2 linked regions of the Drosophila melanogaster genome follow. The protein of the gene in region 1 interacts with the protein of each later gene in a pairwise test. Each region holds a gene or a part of one and is shown in the gene's direction. Other genes may lie near its edges. The genes, in order: NitFhit and CG3880.

Region 1 (4,012 bases):
GATCGCTGTTGCCGTCGGAATAGTTGATGAAAATATGTAGATCAACTGACCGGCTGGTAGTCGGAACACACTGCCAGAGCATCACAGCGCACAGAAAAACACTTTACGTTTTTAATTAACATTTTTATATGTATATGTAATAAATGGAAATTTCGAATACGAAAAACCAAGCAATTGATTTACGAATAGAAGAACATGAACGTTACCAGACATTAGCTGTGATCACGCTCCGTCAAAGGCCTCCCGTTCGCCCTGTGGAAGCGTCGAAGTCTCCCAGTTCAGTGAACGATCGATAGCCATTTTCCACTTTTGGTAGCGCAGGTTGCGATCGGTGGCACTGATCGATGGCTTTATGGCTTCTCGGGGGCCAGATTTAGAGAGTGGAGCCTCCATTTGGTATCGGTTTTCAACGGCTTTGTAGGCTGCCATTGCAGCTCCCTAAAGCATTTTTGAAGCATTATTGAAGCTGCATTTACATCACAAGTTAAAGTACTAACCAGCGCTGTTGTCTCTGCGATCTTCGCCCGGAGTACTTGAATTCCTACTAGGTCGGATTGAAGCTGCAGGAACAGATTATTCACAGTCATGCCCCCGTCTACCATAAGCTTGGCCAGTGGAATCTTGCAGTCCTTGTGCATCGAATCGAGAATATCACGGACCTGGAAACAAACTGCTTCCAGGGTGGCTCTTACTATGTGCTCACTTGTTGTTTCTTCACTCAGTCCACAAATGACACCGCGAGCGTCCTGATTCCAGTAGGGGGCGTAGAGTCCATTGAAAGCTGGTACGAAGTATACGTCAAGAGAGTTGTCCACAGTGCTAGCCATGGTTTCGATCTGCCCCGAGTTTTGAATAAGGTTCATGTTGTCGCGCAGCCAGTTGAATGCTGCACCGGCAATGGACACGCTTCCCTCAAGGGCGTAAAATGGGACTGCCTTCCGTCCTAGTTGGTAGCCAACAGTCGTTAGTAATCCGTGCGTTGAGTGTACAATTGAAGGTCCTGTGTTATAAAGCAGAAAACATCCAGTGCCATAAGTGGCTTTGGCCTGACCTTTGGCCAGGCATTGTTGACCCACTAGAGCGGCTTGCTGGTCGCCCAGAACCGATGTTATGCCTATGCCTTGCAGAACGCCCTGCGCAATGCTGCCATAGAACTCTGAGCTCGAGCAGATCTCCGGCAAAATGGTCTTGGGCAGCCCAAAGAACTTTAGCAAGTTGGCATCCCACTGAAGGGTCTCGATGTTCATGAGCATAGTGCGCGAAGCGTTGGTCACATCCGTCTTGTGGACACCACAGTCCTTCCCGCCCGTAAGATTATACATTAGCCAGGTGTCGATGGTGCCAAACATGGCCGTGCCCTTCTCCATAGCCTGGCTGACAACCGGCACGTTGTCTCGAAGCCAGCGTAGTTTCACGCCCGAAAAGTACGGAGACAGAGGAAGTCCGCACAATGGGCGCAGGTAGTTGATGTTCCTGGCATTGTTCGGAATAGTCTCCAAAAGCTCCTCCACCGTGCTGGTGGTACGATTGTCTAGCCAGATGATAGCGTTCACCAGCGGTTGGCCGGAGTTTCTATCCCATACGACTGTGGACTCGCGTTGGTTTGTTATTCCAATCGTGATTATTTCCTGAAACGAGGCGAAAGCTTAGGATTCTATTTCAAATATTCGAATTAAGTTAAAACGGTCAACTCTTGTATATTCTTTCCTTGGTTGTGTGTGTACACACTTGTTTGCCATTCTCTGGGAAACGCCGTAAGCTAGGGGAATGGTAAAGAGAGCAGCGCAGTAAACAACTAGGTAAAAATAATTGATAACATCTTACGACGTAACGATTCGAAAATTTTCCACAGCCGGCGACCCGTTTCAATGTCAACTCTAGTTAATACCACGAGACGCAGCATTGTGATCGCCATTCATCAGCAGCTACGCAGGATGTCCGTCCAAAAGAGGAAGGATCAAAGTGCGACCATTGCTGTGGGTCAGATGCGCTCTACCAGCGACAAGGCGGCTAATCTTAGCCAAGTGATAGAGCTAGTGGATAGGGCCAAGTCACAGAACGCCTGCATGCTCTTTCTGCCTGAGTGCTGTGACTTTGTGGGCGAGAGCCGGACCCAAACTATTGAGCTCTCCGAGGGCTTGGACGGCGAGTTAATGGCGCAGTACCGGGAATTGGCGAAGTGCAACAAAATTTGGATTTCCCTGGGTGGCGTGCACGAGCGGAACGATCAAAAAATCTTCAACGCTCATGTTTTGCTCAACGAGAAAGGGGAACTAGCAGCAGTATACAGAAAGCTGCACATGTTTGATGTTACGACTAAAGAGGTTCGCCTACGCGAATCAGATACAGTTACGCCGGGATACTGCCTTGAGCGCCCAGTGAGCACTCCAGTTGGCCAGATAGGGCTTCAGATTTGCTACGACCTGCGTTTTGCTGAGCCGGCGGTGCTGCTCAGGAAGCTGGGTGCCAATTTGTTAACATACCCATCCGCATTCACATACGCAACCGGTAAGGCGCACTGGGAAATCCTCCTGCGGGCCAGAGCCATAGAGACTCAATGCTTTGTGGTCGCTGCGGCTCAGATAGGTTGGCACAACCAGAAGCGACAGAGTTGGGGCCACAGCATGATCGTTAGCCCCTGGGGAAACGTACTGGCTGACTGCAGCGAGCAGGAGCTTGATATAGGCACGGCCGAGGTGGACCTTTCCGTGCTTCAATCTCTGTATCAGACCATGCCCTGCTTCGAACATCGTCGAAACGACATCTACGCCTTAACAGCCTACAACCTTCGTAGCAAAGAACCAACCCAGGATCGACCATTTGCCACTAATATCGTGGACAAGCGCACAATTTTTTATGAGTCTGAGCACTGCTTTGCATTCACCAACCTGCGCTGTGTTGTAAAGGGTCACGTCCTTGTGTCCACTAAGCGAGTGACTCCGCGCCTTTGTGGCCTCGACTGTGCCGAAATGGCGGATATGTTCACCACTGTGTGTCTGGTGCAAAGATTGCTTGAGAAGATTTACCAGACAACTTCCGCCACCGTCACTGTGCAAGATGGTGCACAGGCGGGACAAACTGTTCCCCATGTACACTTTCATATAATGCCCCGCCGTCTGGGAGACTTCGGGCACAATGACCAGATCTACGTGAAACTAGATGAGCGCGCCGAGGAGAAGCCTCCGCGTACCATCGAGGAAAGGATCGAGGAGGCGCAAATTTATCGCAAATTTCTGACGGACATAAGCTAGCTTTTTACCCCACCCCTTTTCCTGCCATGTGATTTATGAAGAACATATAATAAAGAGATAGATTTTCAATCGGCCATTTCGGAATAGATCAGATGAGGGAATCGATTCATCTGAAATTGACGTACCTCAACCTTCCCGCCCACGGCCACAAGTTTCTTGCAGGCACCGGTGATGCACTCGTTGACCGTATTCACTATGGCCATGGGATCCTGCTCGCACCATCCCTCCTTCTGGAAAATAGACTCCACTTCAATCTGATGAAAGCACACAATTTCGTCAGTGCCCGCACGAAATATAATAAATCGCGCGGAAGTGGTTCCCTCGTCAATAGCCCCAACGAATGGACCAGATAGCGTGGGTGGAGGCGGTGTCGTTTCGGTTGTGGGAGAATCCATTTTTTTTACGTGGTGTCCAGAGTTCACCTTTACAGTCAATAAATGCCAGCACGCTTTCTCGCGAGATTGTTTCACACTAAAATTAGTTATTGGAATCTTGTCGACATATTCGACGGAAATTATGCGATAAGAGATAAGGTGAGCGAGCCTTCTCTTTGCAAATCGTTACGATAGCGGTGTGTGCAAGCTAAAAACCCGTCGGATAGTAAATATTTACTGCGAATGGGCGCGACATAACGTTTATGCATCATAAAGAACGTGATTTTTGCTATCGGGAACAAACCTTAAAATTATAAATCATTTATTTCTTCATTAAGTGCATTATAATTTAATATTTACATATTAAAATTTTGTTATAGGTAATTT
Region 2 (4,635 bases), on another chromosome or scaffold:
AATCCGCTGGGACAAAATGTACTCGGGGAGCCCTATCCCTTGTAGGTGAAAATATTTGCGTAACAAATTTCAGACATCTCTAATGTACACCTCCTCCACAGCGAACTTATTCGCAACCAAACGCTGAAGTTCCTTTCGAAAACTTTGCCCGTTCTAAAGGCCGACGATACCCTACCCAAGGTCACCCAGATCATTCGAGATGAACCCGTGGAACAGCTGGACAGCAACAACATCGACAGGCCCTATCCCGCAGGAGGTTCCACTCGCGTCCGCCGCAGCCTGCCGGAGGGCGTGGAGTCCAACGAGTACAGCTACTTCGATCCCGCCCTGGACGAGGAGGAGCAACACAAGCAAAGGGATCGGAATAACCAGCAGAGAAGGGCCGCCGAGGAGAGGAAGCCAAGGAAATTCTGCGATGGCGGTGGAGTGTAAGTTTTTAGCATGGAAACGGGGGAGTAGAGTTATTCCAATCTTAACTGCTACATAAATGAAAGATAAATATATCGTATTTCTTAAAGCACGGGAAAGGCGCGCATATAAAGCTAAAGAGGTCACCACTTAAAAATTATGAGTCATCTTTATAAAATTATAGATTCGAAGAATTATCAAGGCAAAGAACCCAAATGAGCTTGTCATTTCACTTTCCACATCATAATGTAAAGCCATACAACTAAAGAAGCTCAACACTTTAATCGACATCCATAGATATTGTAGAATAGGTTAAGAGAGGAGTACATCATGGGGTATTCAACTGCTTAGCATTTTGACGACACAACTGCGTGCAGGTCAATTAATAAAAGATTTTTAAACTTTTAACTCCACCCACAGATTTTGCACCTTATACAGGGCAATTCAGGGAGACACCGGAGGAGCAGCCCCTGCCACGCCCACTGCGGAAAGGCGCGAGGAGGTGGGTCCCATCCGGTACGAGGGTCCTCCCACTCCCTGTCCCGCCAAGGTAGAGTACGCTACTCCCGTCTTCGCTAAGAACTACCAAGGCGCCTGGCGTTATGTGGTCCAGATTCCCTATGAGGGCTACTTCACCCAGACGGTGGAGGTGACGCGTTGCATTCAGGCACGCTGTCACTACCTGGACGGCGGTTGCTTGTCGTCACCACGCTGGGTAAGCCTGTTGGTGGCGGAGATCTTCTACCCCAATGCGGAGGACACAGTGCCCACCAGCTCGACCACCACTCAGGCCCCTTCTGTGCAGGATTTCCAGGCCTACCAGCAGTACCTGCAGAAGAGGGCAGGCGTGGCTACCGCCTCCGACGGAACCTCGTCTGGAGCAGCCGGCCCCGCGGCGCAGGTGGACGCCCACTGCGATGGACACGATGAACTGGGCTGCTTCCAGGTGCGTCTCTACTACGACTGGTTCCTCATCCCCGGCTCTTGCAAGTGCTGGCGCCCGGACTACTTCGCCAAGTACGTGCGCCGGAAGTCGGTGGCCGAGTTGTGAACACTTCCTGGACAGGATTTTCGAAGGAAATCCTTAGAATAAGACTAAGTTCTAGCCTTTAGAGGAACACAACTTTGAGGTGAAAGGCTCATTCTAGTAATCCACCCGGGTGCCCCACAGCCCTATACGGATCACGCAGAGTTTGCAGTTCGTGCATCTACCAGATACAATCTTAACCTAGGCGGTTAGCTCCCTCTTTCGACTGATTAAGCCAAGAGCAGTGCATTTCTACTAATAAATACGTTTCTACCTAATCATAAGAGAGCCTCTCTATTCGGCACTTTGCTGAGACTGCGATGTGGTATTGGCCTAGCCTGTGTGTGTTAGCCTCCTGGAACTCTCTCAGCTGCGCTTGTGTTGGAAGATCCACCGAAAACCCACAGAAACCAGTCGCGCAAGTTGCGCATGCGTGCGAGACTCGGGCCCAAAACCTCGGCCGCTGATCTAGTGTGCAGTCAATATAACCAGTTGGTTGGCTTTGGGTGTTTTGGCCGGGGATCCAAGCGACCGAGCTGCATTACATACACAGAATAGTTGCAGAGTTTGCGCAGAAGCCTTGACGAACGGCCTCAAAAGGCTGCCAGACGAGCCGCGGACTCGGATTTCAGGAGCCAATTTTCCGCATAGCTTGGGTAAGTCAGCCAAATGGAGGGCCGTCTCTTTGTTTATAAACAAAATAAGCAACCAAAGTGGACTAAGGTACAGATGCAGCTGCGATAATAACATTGAGTAAACTTGGTACTTGAAGGCAAGAAACTAACAAAATCATTCATTTGCACGTCTCAGTTGAGCCCATTTAAATAAAATTGTAGAGTTTGAAATCAAGTAATTTTGTGTGGCGACTAGACGATTTTATAAAAATAAATTTGTTAAAACTGCTTGTAAATAAGTGGGAAATATCTTAGCTCAGAGATTCAGTCCTAAGGCAGCGTGCCAGATTCACACACATTCCATTTGGAGTTACCCATGCAAATGAGCTCCTATTAATATAAGTTATGCATTGGTGCCAAGCGTGGGACTATACGATTCATAATCTCATCCCACTTTCCATTTTGCGCCATCCGCAGACGAAGATGCTCCGCCAGAACAAGAATACCAGTACCAGTCTGCTGAACCTAAGCATAGGCGATGTGGGAGGCAGCCATCCACAGGGGCAGTCGCAATTTTGGGAACTGGATACGCTGCCTAAGCAGTTCGTCCTGTCCATGAAAAAGCTCTTCGACATCTTAGATGACAAGCAGACCGGATACGTGCGCTTCACGGACATCGAGAAGGGCTGGCAGGATGATGGCTCCAAGGGACTGCCACGCGGAGTTGTGGACTCACTCCGTCGGGTCACTCCCAGTAGCGGACTTCTCTCCTTCGAGCGGTTCTGCGCCGGCCTCAAGCTGTGCCTGCTCCGCAATCAGCAAAACGCTGTGGAAGACCTGAAGTTGCGGCCTCGTTCCCACGGAACTCTTGCTCCGGAGATGGAGTTCCATTCTCCTGCTCCGCCGCCAAAACCTCCACGACAGGTACCCAAGTCCCCTGCTCTGGGTAAAGACGACATTCGCCATGCCCTCCAAAACTGGCAACTGAACCTGATGGCGGACGCAGGAAAGTCAAAAACGACGCAGTCGCGGGAACAATTCGAACACCGTGGATCGGCTGACGGTGGCTCTTCCTCCACCTCTGCTTCGGCCACCGACTGGAGCCTGGCCCTTCCGGCTGTGCCCAAGAAGACCAGCAGCAAGCGCAGAGAGTCGCGGAGGCACACTCTGCAACACGGCATCGATTACAACATGCTAAAAAGACTGAAGCAATTGGAGGAGCAGCGGGAACTGCTTCTTTTCGGACTCGATGGCGTGGAGAAGGCACGCGATTGGTATATGATGCAGGTGCTCAATGTACAGGAGCAGATAAAGTATTTCGGCCGTTTAGGAACCCGATTTGTAAGTAGTCCTCTAGCTTGTAATTAATAGTTACCCCTTTCCTGATTTTCGCACAGGATCAGTGGTCTGAACTGCAGCAAGAAAGGCTAAACTTTCAACGCGCCCGCGTTTTTGAGGCCAATCGCAGCCTCCAGATTCTGGCCGACACCTGGGAGCACGGCGGCTACCCACTGCACATTAATTTGGCTGTGCCGACACCCACCGTCCCAAAACCGAGGCAGATGTCCGATCTGCTCAGTCGGGTTCGCGAGAAGCCGCCGCTTCTGTCAGACTTGTACGAGGCGCAGCACTCTCATTCCCATCCGCAGTTCCTGCGTGCCATGCCCAACTTCGTGCTCAGCCAGCCCTCGCCGGTCAGCCAATCCTCGGCCGGGCTGGGAGACGCCGACGTGGTCTACTGACGAATCAATGCTGCTGCGTACATTGTAAATAGTGTATTATTAAACAACTTGAACTATGTAAAGCTATACGGGATTGGGGTAGCGGCGCATGTACTTGTTAAGTTGCTTGTAGTTCAGGTTGCTGCCCGGTTGGACGATTCCCTGGTTCACGGTCTTCTTCGCCTCAAACTTACGGTCCATGTAGCACTTGTAGCAGTTCTGGAACTGGCTGATCTCCTTGTGGCAGTACTTCTCCACGAATTCGTTGTCTTTCAAGCAGGCGAACAGCACGCCCATCTCCTGGAGACAGGCCACATCGGATCCGGAGTCCGCCTTCCCGCTCACGGTGTTCTTCAGCCGCAGAGGCAGAATCTCCTGGAAGGGCACGTCCTTCTCGCTTTGAGGCGCTCGGCCGCGCGCGGCAAACAGGGCTCCGGGTACGCGCATCTGAAACCCCTTGGCTCTGTGAGTCCGGTCATTTCAGTCAAAAAATACGATTTTACCCACCTCGTAATTTCCACCGACTCCTGGACAACTGAACAGCTGCTTCAGATTACGTCACGAACTGGTTCCTGCTTTTGGTGGTGATTGCCAGTACGTCTGCAGCCCTGGTATTTCGTTTAACATAAGCATACGGTCACACTTAGAGTCTCCGTGGAACAAAAGGTAAATAATCAACCTGCGGGCACGCCAGGAGATTCTTCAAGGATCACCGAAGACCACGCGCACATGGAAGCCGCCGAGCAGCTCGACGAGGCGGCAGCACCAGCCGCCCTTTGCGCGCCTTCGCGTGCAGCCTACGCGGCCGCCGAGCAGGAAGATCCAGACCCAGACCAGGAGCAGGACCGAGGCCGGGAATCGCCCA

What was found.
Region 2: the proteins of NitFhit (region 1) and CG3880 interact in a two-hybrid assay, tested with the Drosophila melanogaster proteins (one large-scale study listed by BioGRID).

Annotation. Positions count from the first base shown.
Region 1 is NT_037436.4:201,992-206,003, forward strand, and holds NitFhit (nitrilase and fragile histidine triad fusion protein), read left to right. Parts: upstream 1-1,738; 5' UTR 1,739-1,799; intron 1,800-1,852; 5' UTR 1,853-1,868; coding exon 1,869-3,251; 3' UTR 3,252-3,318; downstream 3,319-4,012. Other genes in the region: mri (mrityu), read left to right, coding at 1-40; Gk1 (glycerol kinase 1), read right to left, coding at 223-438, 498-1,628, 3,377-3,646. UniProt on the Drosophila melanogaster protein: Cleaves A-5'-PPP-5'A to yield AMP and ADP.
Region 2 is NT_033778.4:24,758,756-24,763,390, forward strand, and holds CG3880 (uncharacterized protein), read left to right. Parts: upstream 1-1,908; 5' UTR 1,909-2,091; intron 2,092-2,526; 5' UTR 2,527-2,532; coding exon 2,533-3,390; intron 3,391-3,446; coding exon 3,447-3,791; 3' UTR 3,792-3,850; downstream 3,851-4,635. Other genes in the region: spz6 (spatzle 6), read left to right, coding at 1-41, 102-428, 829-1,459; CG12848 (uncharacterized protein), read right to left, coding at 3,855-4,217; CG3894 (uncharacterized protein), read left to right, coding at 4,500-4,635.